Linked DNA regions of Arabidopsis thaliana. The protein of the gene in region 1 interacts with the protein of each later gene in a pairwise test. Each region holds a gene or a part of one and is shown in the gene's direction. Other genes may lie near its edges.

Region 1 (3,658 bases):
CGGTTTCACCTTTTCCGCAACTAGAGCTTGGCATAACGCTTCAAACAAAGAGAACTACTTCGTTGTTCTTTTTCGATAGGATCTATCAAATATTATAGACCCTTTGCTGATATTGATACCAAAACCGGTTGAATGCATTTGGTCTGTCTCTGATTACTATTTGACATCCTCTTCTTTTGAATATTTGTGTGTATTCAGTTTCAGAAGATAAAAGATGCAATCCAACTGCACAATACCGATCGTTGCAGCCTCGGTCCAGCCAAGGTACCTGAAGGCTTAACATTAGCCAAACCAGCTGCATCAAGTTGAAGTGCCAGATTTTTAGATATATTACTAAGGCAACAATCTTTGGTTGCTCAAGCAAATACTCAGCTTAAAATTCTGTATATCGTCATATTTTTGGGTGTAAAAGAATACTTCCTAAAGCCAGTTACGATTCTTCTGCTAATAGTCAATTGCAAATGTATTTTCACTACTGCTGTTCTTTATTGCTTTAAAGCAAGCTTATTGATGAAGTCATGTGAGGTTGCATAAGTCTCATTTCCATAGTTTTGGGGTAAATTTATAACTTTCTCAACTTACCGAACGATAGTGAAAAACAAATACATAGCACAATGGTTACAATAATCATGTGTTGTGATTACAATTTACAAATTTACAAGAATCATATCAAATAAGATTTTTTAAAAATTTACAAATGTGAGCTCAAGACTTTTAAGTGTTAAAGATAAGTTAAGGGCTGAAAACTAAAACATGTAGGAATAAGAGGACTGTTTGGTAAACGTTTTAACGTTTAAAGTCTTGCCTTTTGATATCAGATTTTTCTCAGGTTCCCACGCGCCGCCGCGAAACAGCTAGACGGAGAAATCCAAAATTCGGCGAAGGTTTGAGAAGAGAGAAATCTGAGAGATGCAAGGAGTGTGGAGCCAACTATGGAGGAAATATGCTGATTATAAGTACAATAAGTTCGAGAGATTTGCTGTTTGGGAAATGATCGAACCTTACCGTCGACCAAAAACCTTCACAACTTTGATTACTATCTATGTCGCCGCCTTTTACACCGGCGTCATCGGCGCTGCAGTTACAGAGCAGCTCTACAAGGTCAGCTTCGTATTGTTATCGATTCAGGCCCGGAATTGCTATTAGATTTGTGGGTTCTAATTTGATTCTCGTGATTGGTAAATGTTAGGGTTCGAAATGTGATAAAATTGGAAATGATTCATTGTTGATTACTAATAAAGGATTGTGTGATCATGAAAAGAACTATACTTGAATTGCTTTTCATGGGAATGGTTCATTAGGTCTTTCAATGAAGCTTTTACGTCTTGATTAGTATCTAATCTAATTCATTGTTCTGTAGTATATTGTATTCTTTGTCAATGTGTTTCTTACACTGTTTTGTGTTAGTATCAGTTATGTTTCTTGTTTGAGTGTGAACTTTATGTTACTCCACTCTCTGTAAACAGGAGAAGTTTTGGGAAGAGCACCCAGGGAAAACAGTGCCTCTGATGAAGCCAGTATTCTATCGAGGACCATGGAGAGTTTATCGTGGTGAGGCTATTGCTTCAGATGCTAGCAGCCAGTGAAGCTAACGATTAGGCTATCAGAGACTATGGTGAAGGATGTATCTCCGACTTTGATACGCAGATATAAATGGATTTATACTGGTTCACTAGTATATGTATATCAAAAAACTTCTTTTGGTTCAGTAGAATGTTTGTGTCTGTATTTCGAGTCTAATGACTCTCTTAAGAATCTATTTTCTAGAAATTACATGTAATGACAGTCTCGTTATAGTATAAGGATTTGATTTGAGAAGTTTAAGGGTATCCATTCATTCCTTTGAATATCTCTGCTTGTATCTGCCTCTCTTCTGGTGTCCTGAAATAAAACATTCCCAAATAAGATAGATGATCTAACTACCTCAGAAACATTGAGCCAACACAGATTTTTCTCTTCAAATTAGGTTGCTTCACATTCTTTAGTCCATATAGATTCCTCTGGGGACGTACTCTGTTTCTTTCCTTCCTTTTTTTTTTTGTTTGTTGCTTGTGAAAGAATATGACAACCTATGGCACTATACCATCCCAAGAAAATGCTTCGTCGAGCCTGAGCTTATTAGGACGAGCCAAAGAATTGATCTCGTTAGGTCTTAGCTCTCAAAGGCCATGGCTTGAACTTGTCCAATGTAGTGCCTTTAGCCTTCCTATCTCCTTTAGCGTTGCCACTGAACGAATCAAATCCAACATCATGATCTTTCGAACCAACTACATTGTTATCTTCATTGTTAGTATCTTCATCAGCATGCTTTGGCAACCCGTCCACCTTTCCGTCTTTGTTATCTTGATAGTAGCATGGCTATATGTCTACTCCCGTGATAATGAACCATGGGTGATATTTGGCAGTGTGATCGATGATTCTACTTTGGTGCTGGTTTTGTTGGTCCTCACGATCGGTATATTTCTACTAACAGATGTATCCCGCGGTATTGTGATCGGGGTTTTGGCTGGTTTGCCCGTTGTTCTGGTTCATGGCATGTGTAGGAGGAATACAGAGATGTTGTTCGTCTTGGAAGATGATGAAGAGAAAGTGGCAATGAACACATCATCTTCGTCACTTTCTTCTTCCTCTTAAGTCTTCACAATTGAGCACAAGATTTTCAGTTTTTCTTTCCTGAATTTGTCTACATAGTTCAAAACAACGCATATCCAGTGAAGGAACGTTAACATGCTGCAAAAAGAACTTGAGCTCTTTTGCGATCAAAATTCAGGATGTGGATATTGATGTACTGATGCATGTCAGAGACCTTGGTGACAAATAAAAGGCAATTTTGCGTGCTGATTAAAAACATTATCCTATGATAGAATTCCTATCTAATTATCTCCAACAAGCCAATACAATAACGAAGACAAGTGTGATCCTCTTCTCAGTTATCACTTATTACAAATTATCCAATCGATTCTCTCATTTTCAACAATTACGAATTGAAAGGTTGTAACTTTATATGAACAATGATCTAGTTTTTAATTTTATCACAACAATTATCAAGTTCAAATGCAATAGGGATTTGGCTATATATACCATTTTACTTTTTAGACACGACATGAAGAAGTAGTTAGACCATCTCCAACAAAGAGAACCCCAAAAAATTCTCAAATAAAAAAAATATTAATATTTTACTATAATTTGATTATACAATTAAATTTTTATTTTAGTAAAAAAATTAGATAATTGTAAAAGAGATAAGTGTTTAAAAGGAACTCTCTAAAATATCTGAGGTGGTTTAGACGTCTCGCTAATATCAACCGGCCTAGTCCCAGAGTGAATACAATATTTTTACATTTGGTAAATGTTAAGCAAAACCAACTAAGACTTATTCCTAATAAACATATTTAATTTATTTATTTCAAAGAGATAATTACATAGGTTTATATTGTCTATGAAGAATTATTTTGTTTATAATTTTTTTAATATGTTATAGTGTTCTAGAATTACCAAAATATAAAGTTTGTTAATCATGTTTAATTTAAAGCAAAAAAAGAAGATAAAACATAAGAAAAACAAAAGCAAACTACAAGCAAAATATATATAAATTTTCAAGATTTCTCCTTATTCCTCCAAACTCTATGCATTTTAAAATAGTTGGTTTGAGGATGTA
Region 2 (3,805 bases), on another chromosome or scaffold:
TTAAGCATGAGAAACACCAATTTCACGATAAATCAAACATTGGGATTATCGAAGGAAACGTATCAAAGTTAAGAACTTTTGGGGTAAAAAGGTAAATTGAAAGATCGCTAACCGTGAAATCCAAACCAGGATGATCGGATCCCCAGAAGATATCATGATCGACGACGACGAAGTTACCGGAAACAGTGTCGCCTTCGTAAAGGACGTACTCTTGGACACATTCTTCGTCGTTCACCGTTACAGAGAGAGATGAGATTTGATTGATTGAATTCAATAGAATTAGACCTATCAATACAAAGACATGGATCTTCGCTTGTCGTCTCTCCATCTTTTTTTTTAGATCTTCTTCGATCAAAAAAATTCAGTTTGTTTTCTCGAGAGAATTCGCCGAGTAGAGGAAGAAGAAGAAGACAAAGAGGATTTTATTGCGACTTAGATTACCAAACCGGAAATTAAAACCGGTTTATGACGACACGGGGAGATTTTATTGGTCAACGGCTTTTGGTCATTAAAGAGAGTTAGAGAAAAATATTACTAATTTTAATGTAAGTAAAATACGATCTAAATTATGATTAAATTGATAAAATTTTACTTCAAAAAGTGTTTCAGTGATGTTTGTTTTTACAAAAAATTTTTGATTTTTGTATATATATTGGTTAATGACTTAATGTACGTTTTGGAAGTTTTTTTTATCTACGCCATTGATATGTGTTAAAAAGAATTGACTGTTATGTATGCATAATAATGTCAAGGTAGTTTTTATTTATTTGGTCAATAATGTCAAAGTACTTATATTCTAAGAAATCATTATTTCCGGGAACAAAATCTAAAGAATCATATGTTTTCTTCTTTGTGTTACCATGTAAAAGTGAATCCTTCCAAATTTCCTTAGGTTGAGAATGACAATTCTTCTTTCATATGTTATCAAAGACTAAAATGATCAGAATGTCAATTTGCAGATTTGGTCAACACTACATTAGAAACGAACATATATGAGCGAAAGACATGATTTGGTTAGGGAAGCTAGAGTTGATGGGCCTAATGAGCCCTATACGGCCCGTTATGAGATACGTATGACTGTAAGAGTAAATAGTCTTTTTTTTCTTAACAGTAAATAATCTTTATCTCCATTTAATTGTAAAGTTATTGACATTTTGAAACGACCGTAAATATTACCAAAAAACTGACGGAGTTAGGATCGGCCACGTAGAAAGGGACAAAGAGAGAACAGTCACGGACTCGGCCAGACTAAGTATGGGCCTGTCTGAATCCAAACTCAGCTAAGTTCCAAAAGCATAAAGAGAGATGTGTAATGAAATGAACGTATTCTAGAAACGAAAGCAATGTTATGCTTTGTTTTTGAGCCACATGTTTTTGGGAGATGGAGAGAATCTTTTTTACGTTTTTAACCTAACCCACTTGGCACTTGGCCAAAAAAGTGAGAAGAAACTGTGGCGAATGAGTAGGCCACGCCATGGACTTTGTTCCTTGTCCTTCAAAAGTTAAATTTATGTTATGCGTGGGGACAATCTAAGCAACGTGGTTCCTTTAAATATCGCAGCTTCCTCTTTTACACTTTTGGAGCCTACGTGTTTTGTTTTGGACCGGCCAAATACACGAGTCAGTCAGTTTAGAAATAATTTGGATGTCCAAAAATCTTGGAGATCCAAATAAAATAATTAGCATGTTTTAGTTCATAAGAATATGAAATGTAGATAAACTGTCCATATTAATTTTTCCATAGAATTGGCTTTTTATCGAGGTGATGTACTTAATGACTTTGTTGATTACTACTCGTATAACAATAAAGAATATGATACTATGTGAGACTTATAATGAATTTGGTGTGTGTTAATTAATCCAGTTGAAACAGTTTAATAACAAATCAGAATAAAAATTGTAGTAAGAAAATTTGAACGCTGATCCTTCAACCTAGATAGTGAACCTTTCAAATACTATATGATTCACGTGTAATGTTTTTGACCGTTGGTTATTTTTGTGTGAACTATATTAACTTATCAATATCGAAAGGCTAAATAAGTAAATAACTAAAAGAAAGTTCAGGAAACAACTCGACCTAATGACCTATCATTTCTGATCACCCGTCCTATAAATACATACGTAAGATCATTCGTTACTCATATCAAGCTTCTACACACGATCTAGCTTAAAGTTCTGTAACCTAAGCGATAATCACTTAGCTACTCCAAGTTTCTTCTTAATTTCTCTCACACTAGTAGTTCTAAGCTTTAGAAATGGCAACAGCATCGTTCAACATGCAATCAGTCTTCGCCGGTGGATTAACCACTCGCAAGATCAACACCAACAAGCTTTTCTCCGCCGGTAGCTTCCCTAACCTCAAGAGGAATTATCCGGTGGGAGTGAGATGCATGGCTGAGGTACGTTATTCTCCACTTCCCTGATACAACGGCCATTCATCATGTGACTATGAAATCCTGACCGTCTGATTATTTGACTTTTTCAGGGAGGACCCACGAATGAAGACTCTTCACCAGCACCATCTACCTCGGCCGCTCAGCCGTTGCCGAAGTCACCATCTCCTCCTCCTCCTATGAAACCTAAGGTATAATTTTAGAAGTTTTGATAAACAAGAATTTGTATTTTAATTAATCGGGTCTTAGATATTAAGAACATACAATCTTGAAAATTCATTAAACAAGCTTTATTTGTGAATCTTTGTTAATAACTTTTGGGGTGGTGAATATAGGTGAGCACAAAGTTTAGCGACTTGCTAGCGTTTAGCGGTCCAGCACCAGAGAGGATTAACGGACGTTTAGCGATGGTTGGATTCGTTGCGGCGTTGGCTGTCGAGCTATCCAAGGGTGAAAACGTTTTAGCTCAGATCTCCGACGGTGGCGTCTCATGGTTCCTCGGTACAACAGCGATCTTGACACTTGCGTCGCTTGTGCCGCTTTTCAAGGGCATAAGCGTTGAGTCCAAGTCCAAAGGTATCATGACGTCAGACGCTGAGCTTTGGAACGGACGTTTCGCGATGCTCGGTTTGGTCGCGTTGGCGTTCACTGAGTTCGTCAAAGGTGGGACACTCGTCTAAGGAAAAGAGAGCACGTTATGGGGAGGATGTTTTAATACGATTTTGCCCATGTAATTTCTCTGTAAAGTAATCTGTGTTAGGCCTACTGTGTGTTTTATACATGTGTACTAAGTGACATTTTGAAACTTCGGGTTAAAAACACTTTAAAATTAGTGGTGTTCTATAAAGCTCTACGCCTTCCAAAAACTTTCAGAAATTATAACCATACAATATGTGACTTACAAGGCCAAATTATATTAATGGCCTGTCATCATAATTGCGAACCTAACAAATAACAATACACGATTTCACCTACTATCGAGTTTTACATTTAATGCTCATCTTATAAAAAGAAAAAAAGAAAAAAAATGTTAAGAAAATTCACATCTTTCATTTGCCGACGAAACAAGTGGTGAGTGATCCACTATAGATGATATATAATTCGAACAAATGGTGGATTCAGAAAAGTCTTAGTTAAAAATAAAATCAATATCATTAAGCGTAACTACTAAAATAAAAATACACAAAATATCAAAGAATCTTCAAACTGAATGAATCTCAAATCTTAATGCTGGGGAAGATAATAAATTTACCAACTCTAATTGCCATTTGAATAGATCATATACCGATAGATCTTATATATGTTTAGACATCACTTAAATATCAAGCAAAAAAAAAATTAGTGTATGAAAATCTAAGAATATTTTATCCTGAATACATAAAAAAAAAGGTATATGTAAACACAAACATAAT
Region 3 (4,844 bases), on another chromosome or scaffold:
AACGGAATCAACGTGTTTGACGACGGGCTCTGATTTGCTTAAGCAGCATGGAATTGAGCAGCTGGATAAATGGGGTTGCTTGTGGGTAACGTTAGCTTGGGGATTCTTCTTTAGGATCTTGTTTTATTTTTCGTTGTTGCTTGGAAGCAAGAATAAGAGGGCGTGAACGCCATAATGTAAATTTTTCCGAAACAGAAATTTTATTGTGAAAGCAAAATTGTCTTTTTGAATTTGAGATATTGATGATATATGTTGTATAATTATTATTTTTTTCTTTCATAGCTATCATATATTGTCTAAAGAAAGAATCGTACATCTAACATTTTACATGATGTTAGGTTCACAATTTTATAAAGGACTAAGATTTTAGTTTAATTCACAATTGGTAATGTTTTTAACTTAACAATATGAACTACATCAATAGTTTAAAGTTCAAACTAATATAAAGATACCACAAGCTACCAGTGAAGTAATTTAGTAGTTTTAATGTGCGTGTGAGCTATATGCCATCTTTCGTGGTCGGTGTAAACATAACGTATTTGACAAAATTCAAATTGCATCACTTTTTAAAAACAAAAGTATATACAACTAAACAGTTGGTCGAAAATAGAATTCAAAGTAGCCAACTTTCTTATAAGCTTTATTAGATGGTATTATAAATCTTTGACCCTTTTCTTATGGCGGTAAGGAAGACTACAGTAGGTAGAAGTTAGTCACCTAAACTTCAAAATGTCAACCAAAAAGATGTAACAGTGAAGTCAAAGTTTAGGATTGGAAATCCAAGAAGCTAAGCCAGTACGTCAATTTTGCTTTCATGTTACCATTGTGTCCATCACTAGAAGTTTGACCAAGTACTACTTAAGAGGAAGTTGCCTAACCTTTTGATCTGTTTCTTCTTTCCCTGGATGGATCAAAGACATCACTATTTTTACTTTCTTAACAAATAGTATTTGAAATGTGACACCATCTTTATGATTCTCGTGTAATTTTCGCATGCATGTTTAATTTTAGCAACAAACTTGACGATTTTTATTATATTTCTCTTAAACCACCACTCCACCCTTTACAAAACAAAAAGAATGTTTTATCAGCTTCTGTATACTGTGAATAAAACAGAGGAAACAAAGACCAAACACAATATTTGAGTTTGGTAAAGAATGTTCCACCGTTACCAACTAAATAATCAAGAAATAGAAAAAATGAACTTGGAGATTGTGTGTAGTCTTTCATAGCAAAAACAGGAGTTTATATTCCCAAACTAAATACAAATCTAGCTACTTTATCAAATATAACTTTTATATTATATTTGGTAGAATTAGTTGGGGTTCCGGAATTATTGCAATTTGCAACTTTTAGGCAGTTAGCAGCATAAGCAATCGTCTTCGGTCGCGAAAACAAAAGAAAATGTGAATAGTTTATCTAGGTACACATTTGCTTGCGATACAAACAATCACTATATCGCTACCAACATTCGAAGAATCTTTTAAAAACATTAATTAATTGACCAAACACTATGTGAAACGCAAGAAATATCTCATCTCAATCCTATATACTATCTATACCTCGGTTAGATCAACACCCTTCACCTAATTCTCCATTCTAATCGCCACGTGTCAGCCATTTCTACGTATTTTAGTATTATCACCTTGGAAAATCTAGATTTATTGGTCATCCCATTACCTCTCCCTAATTGAATACGAGAAATCCAAAACGCATTTTCCATCCAAACGCTAAGAATATTATTGTTAACAACACAAACCTAACAGATTTCTCATGATGATGCAACTCATTCAACACATAGAACCTTCGTGTTCACACGCTTCCACACGTTACTTCATATATATAAGGCCTATACACAGATACTAGCAAAACAGAGAACAAAGACTAACATTTTGATCATGCAAAGAGTGTTTTGATTTTCAAGTGTAAGCACATCATTTCTCACTTTACCATCTTTTGTTCTAAATGTCTCGCATACTAGTAGAAGATGATAATGCAACACCGTTTCATTCCATGGAGATTATTAGCTCATCTTTGACTTTAGGCCAACTTCTCAAGAACGTTAGCGACGTTCGTAAGGTTGAAGTTGGTGACGAAACTCCTGTTCATGAATTCTTTGACAGGGATGGTTCTTCACTTGACGGAGATAATGATCATCTTATGCGTCCTGTTCCTTTCGTTCTATCTTTCAACAACCTTACTTACAACGTCTCTGTTCGCCGGAAACTTGACTTTCACGACCTGGTTCCATGGAGGAGGACATCTTTCTCCAAGACCAAGACTCTTCTAGACAATATCTCCGGTGAGACTCGTGACGGAGAGATTCTTGCCGTTCTTGGAGCTAGCGGGTCAGGTAAATCCACTTTGATCGACGCTTTAGCGAATCGGATCGCTAAAGGAAGCTTGAAGGGCACGGTAACGCTTAACGGAGAAGCTCTTCAATCTCGGATGCTGAAAGTTATCTCAGCTTATGTAATGCAAGACGATCTTCTCTTCCCGATGCTTACTGTGGAAGAAACCTTAATGTTTGCAGCTGAGTTTCGATTACCAAGAAGCTTACCTAAATCCAAGAAGAAGCTTCGAGTTCAAGCCCTAATCGACCAGTTAGGGATAAGAAACGCTGCTAAAACAATCATTGGAGACGAAGGACACCGTGGAATCTCCGGTGGAGAAAGAAGGCGAGTTTCGATCGGAATCGATATCATCCACGACCCGATTGTTCTCTTCCTCGACGAACCTACTTCTGGTTTAGATTCCACAAGTGCTTTCATGGTGGTTAAAGTATTGAAGAGAATCGCAGAGAGTGGCAGTATCATTATAATGTCAATACATCAGCCAAGTCACAGAGTTCTCAGTTTACTTGATCGTCTTATCTTCTTGTCACGTGGACACACCGTCTTTAGTGGTTCTCCGGCGAGTCTACCGAGCTTTTTCGCCGGGTTCGGTAATCCGATACCGGAAAACGAGAATCAAACGGAGTTTGCACTCGATCTAATCAGAGAACTCGAAGGATCAGCTGGAGGAACAAGAGGATTAGTTGAATTCAACAAGAAATGGCAAGAGATGAAGAAACAGAGCAATCCTCAAACCCTAACTCCGCCGGCTTCTCCAAACCCAAATTTAACCTTGAAAGAAGCGATTTCCGCCAGCATAAGCAGAGGAAAACTAGTCTCCGGTGGCGGCGGTGGTTCCTCCGTCATAAACCACGGTGGCGGAACCTTAGCCGTCCCTGCATTCGCGAATCCGTTCTGGATCGAAATCAAAACTCTCACCAGACGCTCAATCCTCAACTCCCGACGACAACCGGAGCTACTCGGAATGCGATTAGCCACCGTAATCGTCACCGGATTCATCTTAGCCACCGTATTCTGGCGATTGGATAATTCACCAAAAGGAGTTCAAGAGCGGTTAGGGTTCTTCGCATTCGCAATGTCAACAATGTTCTACACTTGCGCCGATGCTCTTCCCGTGTTCCTCCAGGAACGTTACATCTTCATGAGAGAAACAGCTTACAACGCTTACCGGAGATCCTCCTACGTTCTCTCTCACGCCATTGTTACCTTCCCTTCGCTCATCTTCCTCTCTTTAGCTTTCGCAGTGACGACGTTTTGGGCTGTTGGGCTTGAAGGAGGCCTAATGGGCTTTTTATTCTACTGCTTAATCATCTTAGCCTCTTTCTGGTCCGGAAGCTCCTTCGTGACTTTCTTATCCGGCGTCGTTCCACATGTGATGTTAGGCTACACGATCGTTGTTGCTATTTTAGCTTACTTCTTGCTTTTCAGTGGCTTCTTCATCAACAGAGATCGAATCCCTCAGTATTGGATTTGGTTTCATTATCTTTCTCTGGTTAAGTATCCATACGAGGCGGTTCTTCAGAACGAGTTCTCGGATCCTACAGAATGTTTTGTGAGAGGTGTTCAGCTTTTCGACAACTCGCCTTTGGGAGAATTGACGTATGGGATGAAGCTGAGGCTTTTGGATTCTGTGAGCCGGTCGATAGGTATGAGGATATCGAGCTCTACGTGTTTAACGACGGGTGCTGATGTTCTGAAGCAGCAAGGAGTGACACAGCTTAGTAAATGGAACTGCTTGCTTATCACGGTAGGTTTCGGATTCCTATTTAGGATTTTGTTTTACTTGTGTTTGTTGCTTGGGAGCAAAAACAAGAGGAGGTGAAACTGAAACTACTGATGATACCTAAAACCAAAAACATATATTGTAATTCTTTTTCATTACTTGTAATTCGTAGATTGATTGTGTATTTGAATTGTATTCTTTTTAACATTTGTATTACTTTTGCCATCAATAAAAAAAATATCATTCTTTAGGAAATTGGAAATACAAAAAGCACCTATGAATCGCTTTTACTCAGAAAATTAATGCAACATTTCAAATAGAGGCATTGAGATTGTGGAAGAAAAATGAGGAGACACAGACACTGTTGCTAGAGGCAAGTAACTCTCAAAGCCATTTCACTTTGTAAGGTATCAAAAAGTCAAAATTGGAAGGCTATCTACAAAATCAATTAAAAACAAACCGATTTATCTGAAATTTAAAACCGAAACAAACCGGACCGAATCAGCATCAGAATATCGTCTGGTCCTGGCCGCTCTGCTCTAGCCGCAGTCGAAACACGAGTCCATAATACGAGCGGTGGTTGCTCACGCGCCATCCAGTTTGGCTGGAGATGCTATTCTGCATTTCGACAGTGAAGCTTTTCGGGTTTCAACAAAGGCGCAATGTTAGCTCTTTAGCCAAGCGTTTCAGTCTCGCCGGGAAACTAACGTTAGAGCTCCAAACTCAGGTTTGATTTGTGAAAGATTGAGACTTTCGTGAAATTTGTG

Evidence for each region. Proteins that work in one complex are often made in the same cells at the same time.
Region 2: the proteins of PRA1.C (region 1) and ELIP1 interact in a protein complementation assay, tested with the Arabidopsis thaliana proteins (one large-scale study listed by BioGRID).
Region 3: the proteins of PRA1.C (region 1) and ABCG16 interact in a protein complementation assay, tested with the Arabidopsis thaliana proteins (one large-scale study listed by BioGRID).

What each region holds. Positions count from the first base shown.
Region 1 is NC_003075.7:14,532,423-14,536,080, reverse strand, and holds PRA1.C (prenylated RAB acceptor 1.C), read left to right. Parts: upstream 1-2,007; 5' UTR 2,008-2,061; coding exon 2,062-2,634; 3' UTR 2,635-3,144; downstream 3,145-3,658. Other genes in the region: ACHT2 (atypical CYS HIS rich thioredoxin 2), read left to right, coding at 1-98; EMB2752 (embryo defective 2752), read left to right, coding at 910-1,101, 1,467-1,586; AT4G29654 (Protein kinase superfamily protein), read left to right, coding at 3,627-3,655.
Region 2 is NC_003074.8:8,083,896-8,087,700, reverse strand, and holds ELIP1 (Chlorophyll A-B binding family protein), read left to right. Parts: upstream 1-2,031; 5' UTR 2,032-2,255; coding exon 2,256-2,399; intron 2,400-2,485; coding exon 2,486-2,584; intron 2,585-2,728; coding exon 2,729-3,073; 3' UTR 3,074-3,296; downstream 3,297-3,805. Other genes in the region: AT3G22845 (emp24/gp25L/p24 family/GOLD family protein), read right to left, coding at 113-328. UniProt on the Arabidopsis thaliana protein: Prevents excess accumulation of free chlorophyll by inhibiting the entire chlorophyll biosynthesis pathway (e.g. 5-aminolevulinate synthesis and Mg-protoporphyrin IX chelatase activity), and hence prevent photooxidative stress.
Region 3 is NC_003074.8:20,415,674-20,420,517, reverse strand, and holds ABCG16 (ABC-2 type transporter family protein), read left to right. Parts: upstream 1-1,607; 5' UTR 1,608-1,965; coding exon 1,966-4,176; 3' UTR 4,177-4,335; downstream 4,336-4,844. Other genes in the region: ABCG17 (ABC-2 type transporter family protein), read left to right, coding at 1-166; AT3G55080 (SET domain-containing protein), read left to right, coding at 4,688-4,804.